Linked DNA regions of Drosophila melanogaster. The protein of the gene in region 1 interacts with the protein of each later gene in a pairwise test. Each region holds a gene or a part of one and is shown in the gene's direction. Other genes may lie near its edges.

Region 1 (6,689 bases):
GCAGGGGGGTGTTCTTGAGCGCCGACGCAGATGACCCGGACAGGCGCTTGTCGCCGCTGCCACCGGCCACTCCAGCCAGGCCCAAAGTGGCCTGGGCCTGCGTGCTCTTCTTCTTGCGCTTCTGGCGCTCAAGCTCCTCGTCGATCTCCTTGGCCCAGTCCACTTTCGGCGGCGAGGGAGGCACCCACTCGCGGGCCAGGTACTTCTTGTGCTCGTACTTGGCCCGGATGAAATTCTCCAGCGCTGTGTCCGTCTGCGGGCGACGGAAGCCGTCCGGCAGCTGCGCCTCGTAGACGGCGCGAGCCCGCGAGTTTCCCATCTGCTGCAGCGAGATCACCTGCTCTGGCGTCCAAGTGTCCAGGTTGACGGACTTGACGCGCGATATGTGCACGCCCAGATTGCGATGGATGCCGGCGCAGCGGATGCAGAGAAACATGCCCAGGTTCCAGGAGGCCCAGCGCGGACCTAAGGATAAAAGGTAGCATTCAGTGACAGCACATAGGCTCATATCGCAGTGCAGCTGCATGTGTGGTGTGTATATCCACGCACGCACGCACACAGATGTGCGTCACCAAGAGGCGTATCTCTTGGCGGAGAAGTGGACCCCATTAACATACCCTTGGCATCGCAGTCCACGCAGTACTTGTTGTCCTCGTCGCGGAGCATCTGCGTCAGGAGGGTCTGGCACTTCTCCTGAATTAGCTTCGTGCGCTGTCCCGCATTCGAGGAGCTCATTTTGGGGTATGCTTGCGGTCTGTGAGGCCTGGTTTCGATATTTGTGGCGGGGCGCAACTGTGCGACGTGGCGTGGGCGACGGGTAGAGTTGGCGGAGCTTATCTCTGCTTCACATGGATATACAACTACCAGCGAATTGAATTGACAATTTTCTACAAGTTTTTGCTACCGAAAAAGTGATGCGTCCAGTGGGACCGTGTGGCGGTGAAGGCAGCTAGCCTCCCTGGTTGTCACTAACGCCAAGCCGTGCCATCTTGCCATTCACAGGGAACCGAAGCCACTTTTTAAAAAAGTTGTTTACTTTTACTTCTGCCCACAGAACATTTGAACTCACATTTGCCGGCAAAAATGGAAATTTTGCGAACGAAACTAGAGGCCTGCCTGCTGATACTGAACAGGAACAATGCAGCAGCTGCAAACTGGCTGAATGTAAGTGGGGGAAACGGACCACTAGCCCCAGGACATCAATCACTTGTTGCTTTGAATTTCAGGACCTGTGCGCCGTGCTATTGGAATTCGCTACTTTGGCCCACAGCTCCTTCTGCTCCCAGGGGCAGTCGGAGTGCTCGGAGCTGGTGTGCCTCTGCCTCAGCCAGATTATGATCTGCATTCGCCAAGTGGAGAACACCATGAAACTAGAATGCGGCACCACAGTCTCGGTGAGTAATTTGGATCTCATCCATGCATTGCACAATGATGTCTAATCCTCTGAAAGCAGGTAAGTCATCAGTACTTCCTGGACCGCATTCGCTGGTGCCTGAAGCGCCTCATGCATCTTTACAGCGAAGAATCGAGTTCCGAAGCAGTAGCTCCGGAGCGCTCGTTCCTTAAGCTGGTGGATGGCGCATTGGATTGTTTGGCGCAGTTCACCTCGCACAGTGAGGAAAACACCGATACCTCCAACTGTCCAAAGACTCCCAAGGAAGTCCTTCCACTCAGCCAGAAGTTGCGCGCCAACATTGATTTGATCTTGGGTCAATCTCTGGGATTCGCCAATGTGGCTTTGTCTCAGGACAAGAGGGCTCTCAGTGCCTTGTGCCAAAAGGTGGGTGTACATCTTCTGCAGTATCCCCTTATTTATTCCCCTCATTTGTGCTCTAGGTCATCCGGGAGTGCAATGCCTTTCAGGAGGAGTGCAAGGAGTCATTCAGTGCCAACTACCTGTCCACCCTTAAGCTGCGGGCCATGACCATGGAACAGGCAATTTACCAATTGGAGGACTTTATCAACGATGCGCTTTTGCGCTTGGTATTCACATGCTTCCTGGACTTCGAGAAGTTTTCGGTAGACAAAATTAGAGCGCTGTTAAGGAACAGCCCAGATAATGATGATCTGGCCGATGAGTTCATAGCGGACTTTGATGTGAACATAGATCGCGCCACCCAGATAGGCATTTTTGCCATTTCCTTTGCGCCCAACTTGAAAAGTATAATAATTATATATAATTATAAAAAAAAACGCAATTAACTCCAGTACCAATTCCTTTTCAGTGAAAACCATAATGCGCAGCTGTCTGGCCTCCTTTGAATCACTGGACACCACTCTGATACCTTCACTGCAGGCCCATGGTTCCGATTTGCACTCGGACATCCTAGAGCAGCACTTTAACGAGGAGGTGGCCAAGTTCAAGGCAGCGCTTCAGGAGATCATCGACAGCCGCGCCCTCGTTGGTTGTTGCCTGGAGATACTGACCTCAGGGATAAGTGCAACGGAAAAGCTTTTCGATAAGCAGCGATTGGAGGACTTGGTTCAAATCTCTTTGCTGCTAGTCGAGCACTTTCAGCTGGAAGTCAACCGAAAGGGTCTAAGCGAAACGCAGGACCGATTGGGGGAAGAGTACTACCAGCAGTTCATCCGGGTACTGCGCGAGTGCAAGGCTATTTTGATGTGCGCATCCCAGGTGGAGCCGCAGAGAATCCTCAAGCGCTTCAAGATCTTGCGCACGATCTTGCGCAAATTGCACGGCTCCCTGGGAGCTGGTAAACAAGAGGAGGAACTTCCTATTCCCCTGGCTCCCCTTTTAGCTGATGATACCAAGGGGGTAAATGAAGACGAAACCCATTTCACTGGCTATAAAACAGCCCGAAGCGGCAGTATCCTCTACGACACAGAGCGTAGGAATAGAGTAACTAGACGAACGGACAACAAGCTACCCACAAATACCTTGGACATTAAATCGGATAAGGCAAAACCCCATGGAAATGTTCTGAGAAGTAAGTCGGCTGATGTTTAGATAAATTTGGTAAGGTTACCAATGTTTTGAATGCTATTTTCAGGAGAAAGTTTACGGACTGTCATGTTCAAGCGGCAGAATATAGCTGAAAGCAGAAAGCTATACACCTCCATGAGTAATCAGTCTACGGATCTACAAATCACAGGTACCTAAAATGATTACATTTCCTATTTTATAAGTTTTTCCATTAAATTTCGTATATTTTTAGATATACTCGACCAACTCACTGGAATGTCCAATGGATACTTTGAATGCTGAAGCATTTCAACCATTTGTACATAACTTTTTATTTAGTTTAGTGTTTAAGTTCATACCATTTAAGAGATTTTGCAATTCAAACTTAACGTACGTCGCCACCTGAATGTCATAGGTCAGGTCAGGCATACACACAAACATGTATGTTCCTCGGGTGGCGAAGAGTATCGCATCGGAAACAGTTTAGACTGTTGTAAAAGTAGAGCAATAGGTTCCAATAAATATATAGACACATAGCACACTTGTCAGCGCATCTCCCTCGGTCGATTGACCTTTCAATTGCACTGGACACCCTCGTTCAACCCAACATGTGAAGCTGTGTGGGCAATCCCTATCGATTTTCCACCACGAGCGGCAGCCAGGACTCGCAGTCAACAGATACACACGGTAATTGCTTGGTAAACAGTAAGCACTCGGCTATGAAATCTCTGGCCGGCGATAAATTTGCTCTGTCCGAAGAGATTGGGCCACCGCCTTGTTCTCCCAAACACCGAAAAGCAAGTGCCGTGAGTAGGGACACGGATACAAATAACCATCATGTGGTGCCGCTGGGGATCCTCGTGGTGCTCTGCACTGTGTATCTCATGGTAGCCGGGATGCAGCGCAACTACAGGCACTATTTTAAGCCGGGCGTGGCTGCCTTCGACCTGCACCATGCCCAGCCGGAAGCCATGGCCGACGCCGAATTGGATGTCGCCGCTCCAGATGCATCGTGCCAGAGGTTGGACGTTTTCGGAAAGGAATCCAATCGGAATCAGGCAGTTTCAAGAAGATCCCAAGGCAGGCCCACGAAGAGAACCAAAAACGGCACTGGAAATGGGGTCAGCAAGCAACCTCGTCGTTTGATAAAGTCCCCGGAGGGGCACAAGAAGAAGGAAGTTGGCAAGAAGAGTAACACAGCGGAGCCCATTATTTACCTGTTCGCCCTTGTGTTTGTCTATCTGCTTCTGAAGGCCGCCTCGGACATCAACCAGCACTACAAGTCGGTAAGGATAACCCGCATTCCATTCCCTATTGCCACGTGAATAATCCTTCTTCGGCAGCAGAACAAAGGGGACAAGCGACTGCGCCGGTGCTCGCTGCAATCTTATGCCCAGATCCACAAGCAGGATCGCCGGTCATCAAAAGGTATTTCACCAAAATCTTTGCCAAAGTTTTAGCTCGCTGGGGGCCAGGTGCCTAGCCTATTACACCGTGTTAACGAGGGATCAAGTGAATTGTTATCCTATAAATCTAAATGTATCTACCACTATGTACTGAACTAGCCAATCTTCTCTACTCTAAAGCACCAGTTTTCTGACTTTTTCGGAAAATGTATTGTTGTGTATTGTGTATCTCTCGTCTGTCCTCAATCTCTATACATCTATACATCTGTACATCGCACTTTTCGGGCTCGATTATGCGTTTGATATCTGTGTTTTTGAACGACCTCCACTGTTTACCTCCTCTTCACCTATCTGTGAAACTGTACTGAATCCGAATATAAGGTTGTACATACTCGAATGTATATTACTGTCCTAAGTGTACGTAATCCTAAAATAAATCAATTACTATGTGCTTTCCTGTGATCAATTTACATACGTAGCCGTGTTAGCTTGCGTTTCATTTCCTCCGTTCGATTGGGCTTTTACGCAATCCTCTGCGATCCTCTCTCACCCCGAATCCCAAACTGACCGCTCTACATTTCCCCAATGCATGCCAAAAGTGGATGAGTCCCCCATCTTCCGGCGCAAGCATATAATCAGCGAGGAGCGTTCCGTATCTGTGGATCGCTTCAAGTACACGCTAAACGATGAGGGAGGCTTCACCAGGTCCGTTCCGCTGGTTCAGGAGTATCACTACAGGGTGGTATCTCCTTTGGCCAGCCGACCCAGTCAGCAGCATCCGCATAAGCCGGGATCCGGAGAAGCCCGTTTCGGTAAAGAGTCCCCACAACAAAGTGACACGTCCCATAAGACCAACTACTTTCTTCTCTAGAGCCTCGTCTTAACCGTCGCTCCTCGGTTCCGATCAGCATTAACTATCAAACGGTGCACGTATCGAGTCCACATCCTCCGGAAATGGCCAGGCGCGGCTCGGTGATAAGCCTCACTGGGCCACCACCAGAAGTCAGTGGTATGCCAAGTGGAGCCGCTGATCCAAAGCGGCGCGTCCGCATGATAAATCGCCATTGAAGTCCAGAAGTCCAGATGAGATCAGGACACAGCCCAACGAAATTGCAAAGAGACTACAGTATTTTAACACACCATTCGGAAACAGAAACCGCACACGTTGTAGTCCTTCTTAATGCGTTTCTTTTAATCAGTTAATTATGTTATATTATTCAAGTGTTTTAAAAAAACGTACAAAGAATATTCTTCTCGAAGACACCGAATTTACGCCCACTTCGGCGGGCAGCCGTTTGCCGCAGCATTTTGCCATCCTATTGTACATTATTCTACTTAGGGCAAGATTAAAAAAATCTTAGGCTAGCGTAGTGTTTAGTTTGGAATTCAGTACCTATGATATAACCATTATCTACGAACTAACTACGAACTTGTGATGCTCATTACAATTACAATGACAATTACATACAGCTGGGTATGTATCTGGGTTGAAAGACCTGCTGGGCGAAGCGGATGAAGAGGGTGCAAGATCTTAACTACGGTTGACGCGCTACTGGATCGGGGTGCGGAGTTATGGTCGGAGTGGTTGGTCCCTACGGCTAATACACGTATTCTACAAGGCCTCCATCTTCATCGAATTTTGCGCTAGTTTCTCCTATTCCATTAAATATTAAAATAAATTACGTATTTTAATTGCATGTGGTTGAAGTTCGTCCCTGCGCCGCATTCAGCTCAGCTCGTTGCCCTCGTACAGGCTCTCGCAGCTCTCGAGCAGGCGCAGCACGGGGGAAATGTCGTAGGGGTAGAGCTGGCGCGACACGAGGCGGGATATCTGCAGGCGCAGCCGGATAAGAACGCCCATCGCCTCGTCTAGCATGGCGCTGCCCATGCCGAAGGTGTGACAGCTGTGCACGAACATCGTCCAGTTCATGCGGATGTACTTGAGCAGGCGCAGCAGGTAGAGCAGGAAGCAGGTCTCGTTGCTCACCAGCAGGTCCAGCAGCAGGTCCGAGCTGTTCGATGTCATCTTGAGGAACTCCAGGAATGTGTACACCGGATTCAGCATGGCCACCAGCTCGGGGAAGGCGTTGTTGCGGAACGATATCCCAGACGTGACGTCCAGCGTGCAGACCATGGCCTCGATCAAGTGGTCGTCCTGGTCGTCGAACAGGTGGATCAGGATCTTGCTGAAGTGGCACTCCGGATGGAATTCCAGCGTCTGCTTTATGAACGTCTCCAGCTTGCTGAGTACATCGCGGATCGAGCGCTCAATGAGCATCATGTCCTGGAAGGCATCGTAGTCGGTGGAATCGATGGATGAGTCGGAGGAATCGCTGCGTATCTCCTTCACCGTCACCGCT
Region 2 (8,445 bases), on another chromosome or scaffold:
TTCAACTAACCAAACTCATTTGAAGAAAATTTATAATTAAATAATAATATAATACAATTACCCCAATATCAAGTAACTACGACGTTGTTACTATGTCAACCTTATATTTATGTCGCACACACACAATTTTATATACGAAATATATTTAATATAGAAACAACAAATATACATATGCAATAACAAAGTCAGCCAATTGCGAGCTTAAGTGTACCACTGGGTATACATATCAAATATTCTGTAAAAATAGACTGGGGAACTACGCCACTCAATTTTCACATTAGTTTCCGTCGCTGGTGGGGAGTTATTAAGTAATTGAATCTCTAAAGCTTTTCAAGGTCGAGCCAAATGCCCCCACGCAGACCAGTGATAATTTGGCCGGGTTCATAATCATTGTCTTTGCGGGTTTTGTCATTGATCTTGACATTGAACTTTGATATCAGTTCCACAATAGCAGCCTTAATCTGGACCGTCGCAAATCGCATTCCTGAAAAGGAAATTAATAAAATGTTATAATAATAATAATATTAAATTCAAAGTTCAATTGTAGTGAGTGCTTTCAATTATCAGAATCTGCAGTAGGCACTATGATTTTGTAGTGTTATAGTAGAAAAGATAGTTTACTAACCAATGCACACACGCGGTCCATCCCCGAATCCCATGAAGACACCCCGTTCCCTAAATGTTTTTGCAGCATCTGGCTCCAGGAATCGCTCGGGCTGGAAGGACTGGGGATTGGGAAAGAATTCCTCATCCAGCATGAAGCAGTAGTGAGGTACAACCACAGTGGTGCCCTTCTCCACGACGAAGTTGGGACCTTCCTTGTTGGGAATCTCGATGGATTCGGTGCACAGTTTATTCGACATAAATCCGGGCGGGAAGAGTCGGATGGTTTCTATAAAATAAATGGGTAAATACGGTTAAAAACAATAATTGCAGCTTGAAAAATTATTTAATTTACCCTGCACACAAGCGTCCAGGTAGGGCAAATCGCTAAGCTTTTCAAAGGCAATGGTGCCATCCTGCAGATGGGAACGAATCTCCTCTCGCAGAAGATTCTGTGCCTCCTTATTACGACCCAGATTGAGCAGTATGTGAGCCAAGACTGTGGCCGTCGTTTCGAATCCGTCGAGCAGGAAGGTCATGGAATAGGCCAGCAATTGACGATTGTCCAGGTTGCGCTTCTCACCCAGTTGCAAGATGTAGTCCAGGAAGTCGGACCGCTCGAACTGCTTTCCCGCCGCCAACTGGGCACGACGTGTCTCTACCGCACTGCCCATCAGGTCGACAAAGAAGCGTTCCACATCCACTGGCACGAAGCGTAGCTTAATCAAATGACTTAGCGATGGGAAGGAACTAGTCAGTATAAAGAACAGCACAAAGGTCCAGGGCTGGTTGAAGAGATCATTGATTTTCGACATTATGGGTGTGGGCTTATCCGAAAAGCTTTCAGCGCCCAGACCCAAAACACAATCGGTGACCATCTCTGTTGTGAAGCAGAGACTCATCTGTGGACGATAAAGTAGCAAAAAAAAAAAAAAAACAGGTTTGGTTTCATAGAATACGTACAACAGATAGTATAGATGGAATCTTACGTGCTTGGCATCGATGCCGTCTTTAGAACCCAGACGCAATTGCTTCTCCACCCACTCGGTCAACTTTTGGCACACCTTGTTTGTCACCGGATAGACTGTCTTTATCTGTAATTATGTATATTGGTTGGATCAGTACTTTTCGGGCTTGCCACTGGATGAACTGCCTCACCCGTCCCATCGTAAGACCAGGCGTTACGTCCGCCCTTCGAGTTTTCCACTTTTCGCCAGTTAACGAGAACGGATTGTTGGCGAAAATGAAATCGGTTTTCTCGTCAATATTCTTGGCGATCTCATTGTCGTGGAAGTTCTTAAAGTTGGACACAAAGACTCGACGCGCCAACGCGGGATTGATCACCAGCAGCTGTGGAGAGCGGCTGCCAAAAATGCCCACAGCATCGTACTTGTTCTTATACTGCCTGAATAAAATGATCGCATTAAATTCAAGTAAAGCGTAATTTTTTAAATGCGTTTTAAGAATGGTTCTTGGTTTCTTTGTGAAACAGTTGATGATCCATTGAATTTTGGTAGTTAATATAACCTTTCTAGCTGGGATAACTCACCTGTATATATCGTCTAGATCGTAGATTGCATGCCGCTTCATAGTAAACATGTTTGGATAGTTTCCGCACAATAGCTTTGGCTTGGGACCAGGAACGCCCCGTTTCCTCCAATAGTCATAGTTCCATACCAGCACGGCATACAGCAGGCCCACCACCAACGAAACCAGGGTCAAAGTAATCAGAACCATTTTCGATCGCTCTAAAATCTACGTCCACGCGCGACGAGTTCTAAACGGCGTCTGTTGTGGAATCAGATACTCTGCTCTATTTGTAGCTGCTCATTGAATTTGGGAGAGGTATTCAACAGTGTGGAATCACCGAGATACCTGAGTGAGTGCTCTGGGAGAGTAAACTACTCACACTTTCACCATAAACAGTTCTAACATATAAATGATAAGAGCTAATCATTATTGCAGGCGGTCGTCAATCGTCATATCAAGCAATTATTATTTATTTACGGTCTTGTTCTTTGTAGAAAAAAGCAATAACATTTGATGTTGCAACTCGACTAGCCGCAATGAAATTAACCATTTAGAATAAATTTAAGTATCTTTAGTAACCTAGGGCATATTTGAATGGCTGATGAAATATATACAGTAGTTGAAGGAAACATTATAGCGTTTGCTTCTGTCTTACATATTTTGCTTGCAATATTGGGATAAACAAATGCTCAGATAATCCCAAGCGGTTTATATGTATAGGTCTAGATTGTCGAGTCCTCAACGGATGTAGCTGATTTTGGAGCAACATGAAATATATAAATTTACATTTGCAGCTCAGTTGAATTTGAAACGTTGCGCCGAACTCATTTACATAGAGATCAAAGCTGAATTTTACAAGATTTCTGCTCTTTCCATAATGTCACACATCCAATGCCTTTGGGTGTGTCTGGGTTTTTTTATGCTACTCGTCGACTTCATTCAACCCATCGGCTTGAATGTTTGTAACCGATCGCAGGTGGTTACTTACAAGAGATATGTCGAAAGGAGTAGAGTGATACCATACCAGCATAGATCTTTCTGGAGTGGTTGGCAGACAAAATACCGCACCGAGTATTATACAGACGAAGAGGTAAATACAAAACTTTGAGTAAAATATAAATGGGGAACGGAACTAGTCTCCCTAAAGCTAATAATACAAATAATTATAAAATACTAAAAGATTCCTATGTACAAAGCAAACGAAGATATAGTGTGCTCGTTATCTGGAATTCATTAAAAATCCAAGAGAAAAGAACATTACATTAATTGAGGGTCCAGTTCTGTTTAATTCATCGGACAGACTGGTTGCTTTAAGATAGTGAATATATATATGGTATATACTTCAGGAAACGAATTGACTCGCATTACTCATGGATTTTACTGCATTTTCACTGCATTTTGTGTGTCTGTCATTGTCCTTTGGCACAAGTTTCGCCATTTTACGGCATGGCCTAAATGATTGCAGTCACCCGGAAAGCGTTCCGTATAACCGTAAGGTTCTTAAAAGTAAATTGGTTCCGTTTCAACAGTATTCATACTTTCATGGTTGGGTTACTAAGTACAGGCATCAATATGTCTATGAAGATGAGGTAATTCGAATTTGTACATAATTTATATTATTATTTATAGCTTTGGTAAGTGTGTAGTTAAAGTTTCCTTTAAAGAGGCTTTTTCTCCTGTTCTCTAGACTGCCTACAGGACCGTAATGAGACCCAGTTGCTGTGAGGGCTACGAAGGATCCGTTGAGAACTGCAAACCTGTCTGCAGACAACAGTGTCCTCAACATGGATTCTGCTCGTCCCCCAATACTTGCAGTTGCAATGCGGGCTACGGCGGTATCGACTGCCATCCCGTTTGCCCAACGGTATGTGGAAAAAACGAGTTTTGCGATCGCCCCGGAGTCTGTAGCTGCCAAAATGGCTACAAACGAACTTCTCCCAGCGACAATTGCCTTCCAGTTTGCGAAAAGGAATGTGGACACCATAGCTTTTGCTCGGAGCCCGGGAAATGCGAATGTGAACCTGGGTACGAGAAAGTGGGAAACGGCACCGTCTTTCCAGATGGATACAAGAACAATTCAAATGGCAATTGCTCGCCCATTTGCCCAAAGGATTGTGGCCAAAACAGCCGATGTGTGAGGCCAGGTGTGTGCGAGTGTGAAAATGGATATGCCGGTGACGACGGAGGCACCAATTGCCGACCCGTGTGCTCCACTTGCCCGGAGAACGGATTATGCTTGAGTCCCGGCGTTTGTGTCTGCAAGCCGGGCTACGTAATGAGAAATGATCTCTGCCAGCCGCATTGCGAAAAGTGCTCGGATAACGCACACTGCGTGGCGCCCAACCAATGCGAGTGCTTTCCGGGCTATGAGTCGTCGGGGGCGGACAAGAAGTGCGTACCCAAGTGCAGCAAGGGATGTACCAACGGCTTTTGCTTTGCACCGGAGACTTGTGTTTGCAGTATTGGCTATCAAATGGGTCCCAATCAAGTCTGTGAGCCAAAATGCAGCCTAAACTGTGTTCATGGCAAGTGCACCAGTCCAGAAACCTGTACCTGCGATCCGGGTTATCGCTTCAAGGACAACTCCCATCACGAATGCGATCCTATTTGCGACAGTGGCTGCAGCAACGGACACTGTGTGGCACCCAATTTTTGTATATGCCACGATGGCTATCAGCTCAATAGCACAAATCCTGTCACTTCTATGTGTCAGCCGATCTGCAAAGGCTGCCAATTCGGAGACTGTGTGGCACCGAATGTGTGCGAGTGCAACGTGGGCTATGAGAATATTAACGGACTATGCGAGTTACAAACCACGACGGACTCCTATGAATACAGCACCACAACTGTGGAGTTGCAATCATCAACTGTAGACCCTCAACTGCAGACATCAACCAGCGAGGTTCCGCACTCAAATTGCACTGCCGGTTGCATGTGCTGGATTGAATACGATGGGATGGGTACTTTCAATACAGCCAAGTGTGCCAAGATCTGTGTTGATCCCCAGGACAAGCCGTGCCTCAATTTGGACAATTGCCAATGCGATTTATCGAGTGGTCAACTGGTGTGCCAAGAGGATAGTGACATGGATTACAGCGGGGAGAATTCGCGATACGTTTGTCATATTTTGCCAGAGCAGGGGGCAAGATCAGAGGCTGAGGTACGGATTCCTGACCGAACTGGATCGTCTAACAAGTGGATGATTATCGTAGGCTCCTGCGCTGGAATGATCATTGGTGTGGCCGCCACAATCATTGGCATAAAGTACTATCGACGTTCTACCTCTAGGCGAAATTTTGAAGCCGAAGAAGCCATTGTTGAATGTGATTTTGAATAGTTTGAATCCACACAAAATCACTTATCCTTTCAAAATCGCTTGTAAAATTGTTAAATTACTTGAATTAAAAAATGTAATAACATGAAATAAATTTATAATAATAATTATAATAATTATTTGTTGGTAATGTCCTCAAGCTTAAAAGAATAACTGGACCATTTAGGTACGGAATGCAGGACTCACTATAAATGTAAGCAAATGTCAATTGTGCTTACTTAAAGTTGACTATCTAGGTTTCATCAAAAGAGGGTACTTTACAAGTACGAGATATATATTACGTCTAACTGTAATAGTTAAGAAGATTTATACGAATACTTTACGAGTACTGGAAAAGAAAACGCTGATACCAACCAGTCGTATCAGCGTTTCCTTTTTCAGTACTTGTCATATATGTATCTATTCCCATACAGAGTTTCTGTGTGGTTAATCAATCCAATAGATAAAACGCACGCTTTAATAAATCGTGATATCAAACATATATTTTGGCCAAACACTTCCTCCACACGGAGGAGCTTTCAATAGCTGTTGTAAAGGCAGAGTTTTTGTAATGCTCTAAAACTGTATAACTTTTCATAATAACAATACAATGCAAAAAAACCGGAAACTTGCAGTTTTATAAACTGATCAAATCCGTGAAGTATTGGTATGACAACCCCTTTGTTTTTCAATACCTTTCGTTTTGTGTTTGGAGTTTTAAGTTTGGACAACCACAGCAATTTTTTGTTTATTTACATTAAAATAGTTTGTTCATCACTATATAAGGGAAATTATTTCTTTTTAAAAAATTATTTTTGTATTAACCATTATCATTAGTTACAGGAAACGTTTGGAATGACACACAAAAGTGATTGAGTCATATTTACTACTAAATCATTGGAGGCCTGTTAAGCATACATACATACATATATAATATGTAATATTTAAAATATGTAAAATGTTCGCGGACTAATAAAACGACTGAGATCAACTGATTTGTAATCCTCATATTTTTTAGAATGAGAAAAAAGTTGTAAGTCAACCAAAACATACCACTCAATAAATTCATAAAATGAACTCGACGAGCTTAACGTTTAAAAGTGTATTTAAATCCTTTACTCACCTTTCTTTTTTTATAAAAAAGTAAGAAATAATTGTACAATTACTTCTTACTTTTATAAAGCCAATTAAATTAAAAATAAATACACTGGTTACATATTTTCCTCCTTATTGGATATACCCGAAAAGCTTTCATATAAAGGGTACTAATCTCGCTCCGCAGAAGGCAAGCGAAATTTTAAAGTTTAGTTCATTTTTTGGCACTCGGCGGAGCAGTTCACACTAAGTTTACATAAGTCACTAATATGCATAATTTTCAACTGACCGTCGTTTTCCTGGCACTGTTCACTTTTACCAGTTCCTTTGGATACCGTTCTGAACATCCGCACAGAAAACCAATACATGTACGTACTTTTTCTGTCTTTTAAAATCAATAACATTAAATACCCATGACAAAGGGTCAAATTGCATATGCAAATGACATACAAATATGTTAGTCTAAATATTACATATTTATAGGTATTTAATTAAAAAAATTTAATTTTAAAAACCAAGAATTATCATAATTTTTTGTTTTTGTCAGAGCAACCGTCCATCTCCAACTACTACAATGACAACAGATTCAACTTCAACTAGCTTTATGACAACAGATTCAACCCCAAGTGAAACGGAATCCACTTCGGATACATCTACTGAAGAAAGTACACAGATTTCTGACTTCACCGAAAGTTCAACCGAAAGTTCGACGACAGCAAAGATATTTTTAAAGGACAATGAGATTTCAAAACCAGAAAACAGCAACACTTTACTTATCAGTGTGTATGGCATTGTAATTACCTTGGCTATTTTAGTTGCTCTAATATACTGCATTCGACGCCATTATGGTTCATATTCTGTGAAAGAGCAATGCAAGCCCATTGAAAGTACCGCATATTTTAATAATATTAAATATTAAAATCATATTTAAATAATATTATCTAAAAACAAGGATTTAAATAATAACTTTCTTAAAAACAAATTTGCATCCACTAAGTATTAAAATAATTTTTGGCACGAATCTTAAAATATTTGAAATAAACATGACTCATTTATTTCCGACAAGCGCTTCAAATATTTTATTTCTACTTGTGCCGGATAAGAAGAATTTCAAAACAAAAACATTTGTTATATTTAAGCGATACGGAAGTAAGTAATCTCAGCTATTCGACATGTTTTGAATGCGATATTATCTAGCCATTTAAATTTATTTTTTAAGATAATGACTGCAGCTTTTGGATAAACACAATCTCTGTTTTGGTTTTATACCGATCAAGCCCAAGGGATTTCGAAATAAAAATCAATTCTTTAGTAATAATGTCTATACTGGAACGCACATGGTTGATTGCTCATGGTAGGTATATCCCGGATCGCATAGACATCGGTTTCGGCTGACACACACGCCATTGTTGCACTTCCTGCACCGAATAAAGATTGCCATTAGTCTGGTATTCCCAGCATGAAGTTTTCAGCTTACTGATAGCAATCGGCCTGGCAGACACCATCCCTCAGATTGTAACCAGGAGCGCAGTCGCACTGGTTGTTGTCCTTGCAGAGTCCGCCGATTCCACAGTCCGGTTCGCAGACGGGCTGGCATCCGTCGTCGGTCAGCTGATAGCCCTTGGAGCAGCCACAGATCTCCGGTTCGGTGCAGTTGTGCCGCGGACTGCTGCCACAGCCACTGCTGCAGATCGGGCGGCAGAAGCGTCGCGTCTCGTCCAGCTTGTAGCCCGGATCACACTGACAGCTGCCGTCCAGATAGCACTGACCATTTTGGCAGCCCAGCGGGCAGGCAAACACACAGTCACCGTTGTCGTTACGCACAAAGCCATCATAGCACTCGCACTCACCAGGAATCTTACAGCTTCCGTTCTGGCAGCCACATTGCGCCCGGCACACGGTTA
Region 3 (7,688 bases), 2.3 Mb from region 1:
AGCCTTTTACGGTTTTAAAAGGCAGTCACCCCACACAGATCGTTTCGATCTGCCTCTTAAGTATTTAGGTTAAGGAATCGTCATCAGCTAGCCCTAGTTATAAGCCAACCAACGAGCACACTTATAAATCTATCTATATTGTATACACTTAACCATAATTTGTTTTCGAAATGCATAAATGCAAAAACTCCTGAAGTGCTGTGAGTCTATCTACAAATGTAAAGATCCGAGAGCGAGAGAAGTGTGTTATTTTTAAGGCCTAGCCCCGAAAATGAACCTCCAAACCGAACCAGAACACACCCGCACACTAAGTATATTGGTTTTCTATGTCCAAATCCAAGTTTTGCCCTTTGAAAATCACGTAGTTCTTCCTTATTTCAAATTGTTATCACACCAAGTTTTGAAGCGCAACTATTAACGGTGAATGAGAAATGACTTGCGCCCCTAGTTTTGTTTTAATTCTTTAAACAACGAGACCACGAGACTCATTTAATTGTTTCTTTTAATTTTGTATTTGACAGAAGAGAAACGAAATGATGAAAAAAAACGCTAACTGTAAATAATCAATATGTTGTCATATATGCATTAAGCGGTAGGTTAGATAAACAAACTACACAAAGTTGATAGATATAAATGAAATATTGTACAAACTGCTATGGCAAGCGCTGCAGCAAAATCTATATATACACATAGATATATATCTATATATTTGAATGTGTGTATGTGGTTAAACAACAAGAAAATGAAGTGATCTATTACATTATTGTAAAATATATCAAAAAACTGAGAAAAAAAAAAAACAAAACACAAACAAACATAAAATCTTATACAAAAAAATGACAAAAAATAAAGAAATCAATGTGAATATACAATGTTTTTTTTTATTGATTAATCACGTCAAAAGCGGGTTTGGAAGAATAGATATTCCTGAAAAACGAATACAAAACATTATTGTGGCAAATGATATATGTATATAAACTAGGAGCACAGTACCAGTAGAAAGGCTGATCCCAGTATCAAAGCCCGCTCCTTGGCGGTTAGCTTGGCGTCACTAAAGTATATATTTGTGGTGTACTGAGACTTGCTGGCGAGCCATTTGTGGTCTATGGAAGCCCTCATATTGCCTCCCGAATGGATCTGTAAGGGAACAAAAACACTATAATTGAATATTCTGTTCCGAATGTTAAAGCTACTACCAACCTTAAAATAACAATCTTTGGGCAAACTGAAGCAGCAGAATCCTAAACCGACAGGACCCTCTACACAGAATGTTAGTTGTCCTGTGCTTTCGTCTTCGATAAAGAACTCCGGCTGCATGAAGGTGGGCGACTGCACCACTTTACCCAGCAAATTACCAGGTGGTATCCAAATTTCTAGACTTTTTGCCTGGCAGCACATGGATCCCATCGCTAGTTTTTTGCGAAAAACCAGAGCTTCCTGGTGCGTTTTATCCAGCAGGTGCATCTGAAAGGGTCGACCAGCTCCCCAAAGTAGTCGATTTTTTTCTGTGGAACTCTCGTTGGCCGCGAAAATGGCATCACCCAGTGGAGATCGCACCACATATCGATTCTCCGAGGAGACGCCTGTTAGGGCTGCAAAGGGAAGACGAACTATTAGAAGCGATTTTAGCTAATTTTTGGGCTTGTACTTACCATCGTTAAGCTCAAAGGTCTGTTCAATATGTACGGACGGCAGATCTGCTAGGCAATCGTATCCGGAAAGTGGGATAAGCGTCCGGCTTCCCGTAACCGTGGCAATTGGCACTGGCAGCGGGATGCGTGGAGCCTCCGGCCTGGGTTGTGAGGTAATGCTGATATGGGAGTCATAAACTGAAGAAAAACAAACAAATCGTATATAGACCATTTTCCAATACGAGCAGAATCGTAAGGTTGTCCATATTGTTATCTTTGAACTAAGATTTTATAAACCTTTTCCATATCTTTAGGGTATTACAAACTTTTCCATAGATTGAATTTTGAAAGTTTTTAATATTTTAATTAAATTTAAATTTCATTTAAAGTTGTAGTTTTAAGATCATAATTTTACAGTGAATTTGAATTAAATAAAAATGGTTGTTGAACATTCTGCTAATAATAGCTCTGAGTAATAGCAATATTATTGAAAATATTTTGTGGTTATAACAAATCGTTTAGATTAAAACTTTAGTAGTTTTTCGATTTTTTCATAATCTTGTCACATAAATATTTTATTACTTTTCTTGGAATAGGAAAATGTTGGTATAGGATACAGCTAATATCATGGGTACGGTTTTACTATCGGATTGATCGCTGGGTTCGATCGTCCCAAACAAAGGCACTTGAGGAGTCGCAGACCATAACAAAACGCTGGCCGATAAGATATAGCCAACTTGTGGCCGCATTTTTGCGTCGAACTGTGTGACACACTCGCTCGCAACAATAATTAATCCGGTGCACTGCTTATCAGTTGGTAACAATTCGGTTACCCTTTTGCCAGGGTGATTCACTCGCTGTTTTTATTCGTTTTCTAAAGCCATATGCCCTAAATTACCTCTCGGTTCTGAGAGACTTGGCTGCTGGGCCACACGGATCTCACTGTCGTATTGCAAAGTGCGCACCGCGTTGTTTTGCAACATTTCGCCAGCACTTTTCAAACTTATTTGACGGCGGTCTAAATGAAATTGATAACGGTGGTCAGTGGGGCAGTAGCACAACGGAAGTTAAGTGCTTTGTGCCCCTCGCCTGGTCACACTTCCTGACTCAGATGATTTTAATACTCTATTACGAACGTTCTCATGTGAAATAGTAATAATAGCTTATTTATAGTGCTATTTTGTAAACTTTAATTCATGCGAATGTTGCAGGTTTTCAAAATATTCGTTTATGCTGCTCAAGCTGAATGTGGATAAATATATATTCAAATCCAGAGCTGCCACCTGATTCAAACTGTTTAGTAACGTATTTTCTGCACTTGCGATATATACTAAATTATCGCGGGATAAACGTGCTATCGCACTTGGGTCATACTAAGCCTTACGGTTTATTTTGCTAGCAGCAAAACAGAAATAAAACCTTTACTTAAATTTATTTATCAGAATTTGTCTCGTGTGAACTTGAAATTAAAGTCCGTCACCGTGTTCTCGGACCGAAGTTTGCTAAATGACGTGGAGACGAGCAGCAGGTGAGCGAGCGATGAAAATTGCAACAGTGCTGGCCATTTGGCCGACGATTTGTTGTTGTGGAATTTTTTGGCCAAAATTCGGGTTGTTTTCAAATCGGTTAGTCAAGGGGTTGGTAATCAAGGAACCAAAGTGCGCAGCCGCTGGAGCGGGAGCGGCGTAAACAAATGCCAGTGGGGTAGTGGTTCTCGGTGGGGGCTTAATCTCTGGAGCGCAAATAGCGACAGTGTTCTCTGGGCCATCGGTGGAACCAGCTAAGTCGGCGGAATCCACAAGAAATCGAGCGATAAGCGGCGGAGCGGGTCCAAGTGCAATAATCAATAAACGTGCTGTTCAAACATCGCTGCTAGGCGAAAGATAAAACCCAGTCGATTGTGAAATTCCTGCTATATAGAACGGATTGAAAGCAAAAATTTGCTCCCCATTTGCTTGCCTTTTGATGTAACTCCCACGAAGTGCTTTTGCTATTGCCAACTTGCAATTTGCCCCCTTGTACCTTTGGGGGGTGGTTTTCGCCCGGAAAAATCCATGAAAAGAACCGTCAAGTGCGCCACGCTGGTGAAAAACTGCTAGGAGTGTTAGTTTTCGTTTTGTGGCAAGAAGAGAACGCGGCATGTCTCTGGAGGATCCGTTTTTCGTGGTCAAGGAGTAGGTGTCCCCGATTTGGCAGATGGCCACATGCACTGCTGGTGGAAAGTGCTATCTTACTTATATCTCTGTTTTTTCTTTCATTTCCCTCCCCTTCCCCAACAGCGAGGTATTCAAAGCTCTGAACAAAACCCGCGGCCTCTATCTGCGTTGGCGGGAGCTGGGCGAGAACGGCGGAACGGAGGCTGAATGGACCACCACCGAGCTGCGTAACTCGCTACGGAGCATCGAGTGGGATCTCGAGGACCTCGAGGACACTATCAATATCCTTTTGCAAAGACCATTGAAAAATCAATTCGTTACCTGGTACTCATTTATCGAATTGCATTGTCTGTTTTATTTTCGCATAAAGAGGTTGAGATCCCATTTAAAATTGCTGAATATGCAATTTATTCGTGATTTAATTCGCTCGTTTATTAGTATTATACTAATAAACTGTACAGAACTTGTTTTTTTGGCACTATAATTGTAAAAAAAGAGTACTTGGTATCTTAAGGTCGGTAGAACCGACTTTCTAGCTCATCAGTCTCCTCGGTTTTCTCCTTAACCCATACCATTTTGACTCACACGCATCGTTGAGAAGAATCCAAGCAAGTTTCGGATCGACAACCGCGAACTCTCCAGCCGGCGCCACTTCATCGACAACACTCGCGATGAGGTCAAGCAGATGAAGGATAAGATGAGCCTGAACCGGAGCCGGGACAGAGACATCACCGCACACCAGCCGCTGCTCGACAACGATCGCCACAGCCCCAATCACAATCATTCCATTGCCATACCCAATTCGAATTCCAACTCCAACGAGTACCATCAGCATCCACACAACGATCGCACGTACCTCGTGGAGTGTCCCAACGGCAACTCGCTGATCAATAGCGGCAGTCAGGTGGCCAATACCATAGCTGGGACCATGTCGGCGGCAGCGGCAGCAGCATCCCGCCACAGCGGCACCAAGTACTCCAAGCTGGAGAACGCCCTGGACAGTCCCAGTCACTATGGGCAGACGCATCACGGCGGCATGGACAGTCCGAGTCATAGGTACGTGGGCGAAACAGTGTCCATACAGCAGCGTATGATCCAGGGACAGGATGAGCAGCTAGACATGATCAGCGATTCGATTGGTACCCTCAAGACGGTCTCGCGGCAAATTGGCGTTGAGCTCGATGAGCAGGCCGTCATGCTAGACGACTTTGGGAACGAGTTCGATACCACGGAGTCCAAGTTGGATACGACCATGAAGAAAGTTGCCAAAGTCTTGCACATGAATAATGGTGAGTGGTGCGGCACTTGTGGTATTCAAGGACTATTTTGATTGAAATATTAATGAAGAGTAAATGCTTCAGTGAACCACAATCAAAATTACCCATTGAATACTTTTGTGACTTCTGATTCCTAATTCTTAACTGTATCCATCTTCTTTCACAGATAAACGACAGTGGGCCGCCATTCTCATCCTATCCGGACTGTTATTGTTTGTGATAATTTTGTTTATTATTTTGTAATTGCTTTCGTTGTTCCCAAATCGTTTATATTTAGTGTAAATTAGATTTATTTATGACTTAGCTTGCTTTTGAATTCGGGCTCTTAATTACAATTCCATGTAAACTCCCTTGCTGTATATACACGGAAACATTTTAACCTGATTTATTACCAGCCGCCTCTCTCTATATATATATAATGTAATTCCAAAGCTACGGACAAATGATCATGTAAAGTCAATGTAGGCGGGTAATAAAAGATAACTAACTACTTACATATAAACCAAGTGCTCCAGAGTTCTGTCATTCCCAATTTGGCCAAAGGATACTGCAACTGTAAGCTGTATATACATCGAAGGATATATCTGCATATATATACATACAAACAAAATGGACCTACCAATATCAAACGAGTTATTTAACGAAGAGTCTTAGGAAATTTCACTAACCAAATCTAGCAAAAACTTGTATGCAATTGAGTAAATATATATACTTATAAATTAAATTCCTAATTTAAAGCCAAATGAGGTACTTCTTACGGGTCACCTAGAAATACTGTATGAGTGCACAGAGAGAAATTGTATACATATACAAAAATTTGTTCGCTATTTTGAAAGCCTAAATTAAACAAAAATTGGAAATACAAGCTTTCAAATTTTTTAATGTTTTTAAGGATAGTAGGATTAGTCAAGATGTTATCTTCTGATAGATCAATGATTTGGAAAATGGTATTTAATACCAAATTTTTCTCTGTGCACAAGGAGAGGGTATCAGGCCCCTTCTCATGTTCTCTCTGCGCCCCAAAACCACTCGACAGCCCACTCGATTTGCCCACTCACTCAGCTGTGTTGCATGCTTTTGCCCGGAGCTTTTTGGCGAGCTTACAGTCTGCGCACAGTGGCGCAACCAAAGGGGTATCTTCGAAAGGCTTGAAACATAACCCCTACGGGGAATCCGGACTACGCCACTGGGTCACAGCATAAGCACACGGGCAGAGCGGCACGTTTCCATGTGATGTTTTTCGGGTTTCGGCATTCAGTGTTGTTTGCCTTTTCCGCGGAGCTGGAGTTTTCCCAGCAGTTGGCATATAGTATATATATATATCTCCTGATATTCCGGTAGAAATGTTCAATTGTTGAATTACTTCGGCTAAGCGGCATTCAAAGTTATTTTGGTGAGTGACAGTGCGCAGTGAAGTGAACATACCCACCCATTATCACCCCCAAATATGCAGTAACCCAAAATTCGACTTCCTCTCGGATGTTTGTGGTTGGTTTTCCTATTGTGTGCAGTTTTTGTTGCCGCTGAAAACCTTGAGCATTTTGTTGGCCAAAAATATATAAAATCAATGTCAAACGGCGGAAGATGGGATACCGCTTCCATTTCTTTCCCCCCCCCCCCCCACTTACTGCTCTTCGTGGAAACACTCAGATTTCAGTTGACCGCCAGGTAAAACCAGCTGGTCCGGTTGGCTAGATACTCCTTCTGGGATTTTTCCTCCGCTTTCCCTTTGCTGCCGTGGCTATTAATAAATGCATGTGGCCAGAAGAAGCGAGTGAACATATTTCAGACTACATGTGTTCTTGGTGGCCGTGTGTTTTCCTTTGGACGCCAGTGTGTTGCTCGTGGTTTTCATTGCTGGGTGGGGGGAGCTTTTTCGAAACTCTTATCAAAAGTCGGATTCGCGGGCAGGGATTCGTTCGTTATCGAAACAGATGAGCGAACATGCCGTTACTTTTTAATCAAAAGACGTGTGTAGTTTATGTTGTACGGAAAGTGGACGGTAATAAAACTCAAGTGTCTGGAATTGCAATGCACCATTGCCATAAGCAAATTTCCAATGCACAGTAAGCAAAAATGGCAAAAAAAAACACAAAATTAATTCTGTTGGTGAAAATATCATGTTATATATCAGCAAATTACCCGCACAGACTGTTGTTTATGTATATTATACGATAAGTTTATTGCGAAATCAATTTACAATGCTATTTTTGAAAGTGAAAGGGAAATTGAAAAGCCATATCTGTGAAAGCAAAATGGGAATTTTGAAAAGCAAATTTCCTACAACCATAAGAATTTTTAAAAGGGCTTGTTTTATTCACTTTAACATTTGCAATGGATAGTAAAGCTAACGTATTCACGTTCTGAGATTTTAGGCATGACTGCGAATAAGTGATATTGTATTACAATTTACACAGTTTTAACGCCAAGCATTTGTAAGCTTACTGTTGCATAAAATTGAAAAAAAAATTTACAAATTTTTGAATAGCTTGCAATTTTGAAAAATGCATCCAAATATAATTTTCTAAATATTGTGTGATTAAAGGAAACCATAATGCTTACTGTTGCGTAAAATTAAAAACCAATTTTACAAATTTCTGAATAGATTGCTATTTCGAAAAATT

What was found.
Region 2: the proteins of CG8248 (region 1) and NimC1 interact in a two-hybrid assay, tested with the Drosophila melanogaster proteins (one large-scale study listed by BioGRID).
Region 3: the proteins of CG8248 (region 1) and Syx6 interact in a two-hybrid assay, tested with the Drosophila melanogaster proteins (one large-scale study listed by BioGRID).

Annotation. Positions count from the first base shown.
Region 1 is NT_033778.4:8,917,044-8,923,732, reverse strand, and holds CG8248 (uncharacterized protein), read left to right. Parts: upstream 1-3,364; 5' UTR 3,365-3,642; coding exon 3,643-4,209; intron 4,210-4,266; coding exon 4,267-4,383; 3' UTR 4,384-4,793; downstream 4,794-6,689. Other genes in the region: CG8243 (uncharacterized protein), read right to left, coding at 1-465, 618-735; Spt (spitting image), read left to right, coding at 1,084-1,164, 1,227-1,394, 1,454-1,780, 1,837-2,161, 2,226-2,948, 3,012-3,113, 3,177-3,226; CG34219 (uncharacterized protein), read left to right, coding at 4,919-5,141, 5,201-5,397; lin (lines), read right to left, coding at 6,056-6,689.
Region 2 is NT_033779.5:13,971,255-13,979,699, reverse strand, and holds NimC1 (nimrod C1), read left to right. Parts: upstream 1-3,445; 5' UTR 3,446-3,503; coding exon 3,504-3,722; intron 3,723-3,820; coding exon 3,821-5,470; 3' UTR 5,471-6,542; downstream 6,543-8,445. Other genes in the region: Cyp28a5 (cytochrome P450 28a5), read right to left, coding at 321-484, 626-892, 959-1,505, 1,593-1,697, 1,762-2,008, 2,153-2,340; He (hemese), read left to right, coding at 6,811-6,909, 7,089-7,460; NimB5 (nimrod B5), read right to left, coding at 7,863-7,959, 8,019-8,445.
Region 3 is NT_033778.4:11,216,554-11,224,241, forward strand, and holds Syx6 (syntaxin 6), read left to right. Parts: upstream 1-3,380; 5' UTR 3,381-3,770; coding exon of another isoform or gene 3,771-3,805; 5' UTR 3,806-3,827; coding exon 3,828-4,068; intron 4,069-4,374; coding exon 4,375-5,076; intron 5,077-5,230; coding exon 5,231-5,307; 3' UTR 5,308-5,785; downstream 5,786-7,688. Other genes in the region: CG9084 (uncharacterized protein), read right to left, coding at 898-927, 994-1,137, 1,201-1,610, 1,653-1,829, 2,530-2,614; CG7737 (uncharacterized protein), read left to right, coding at 7,046-7,130.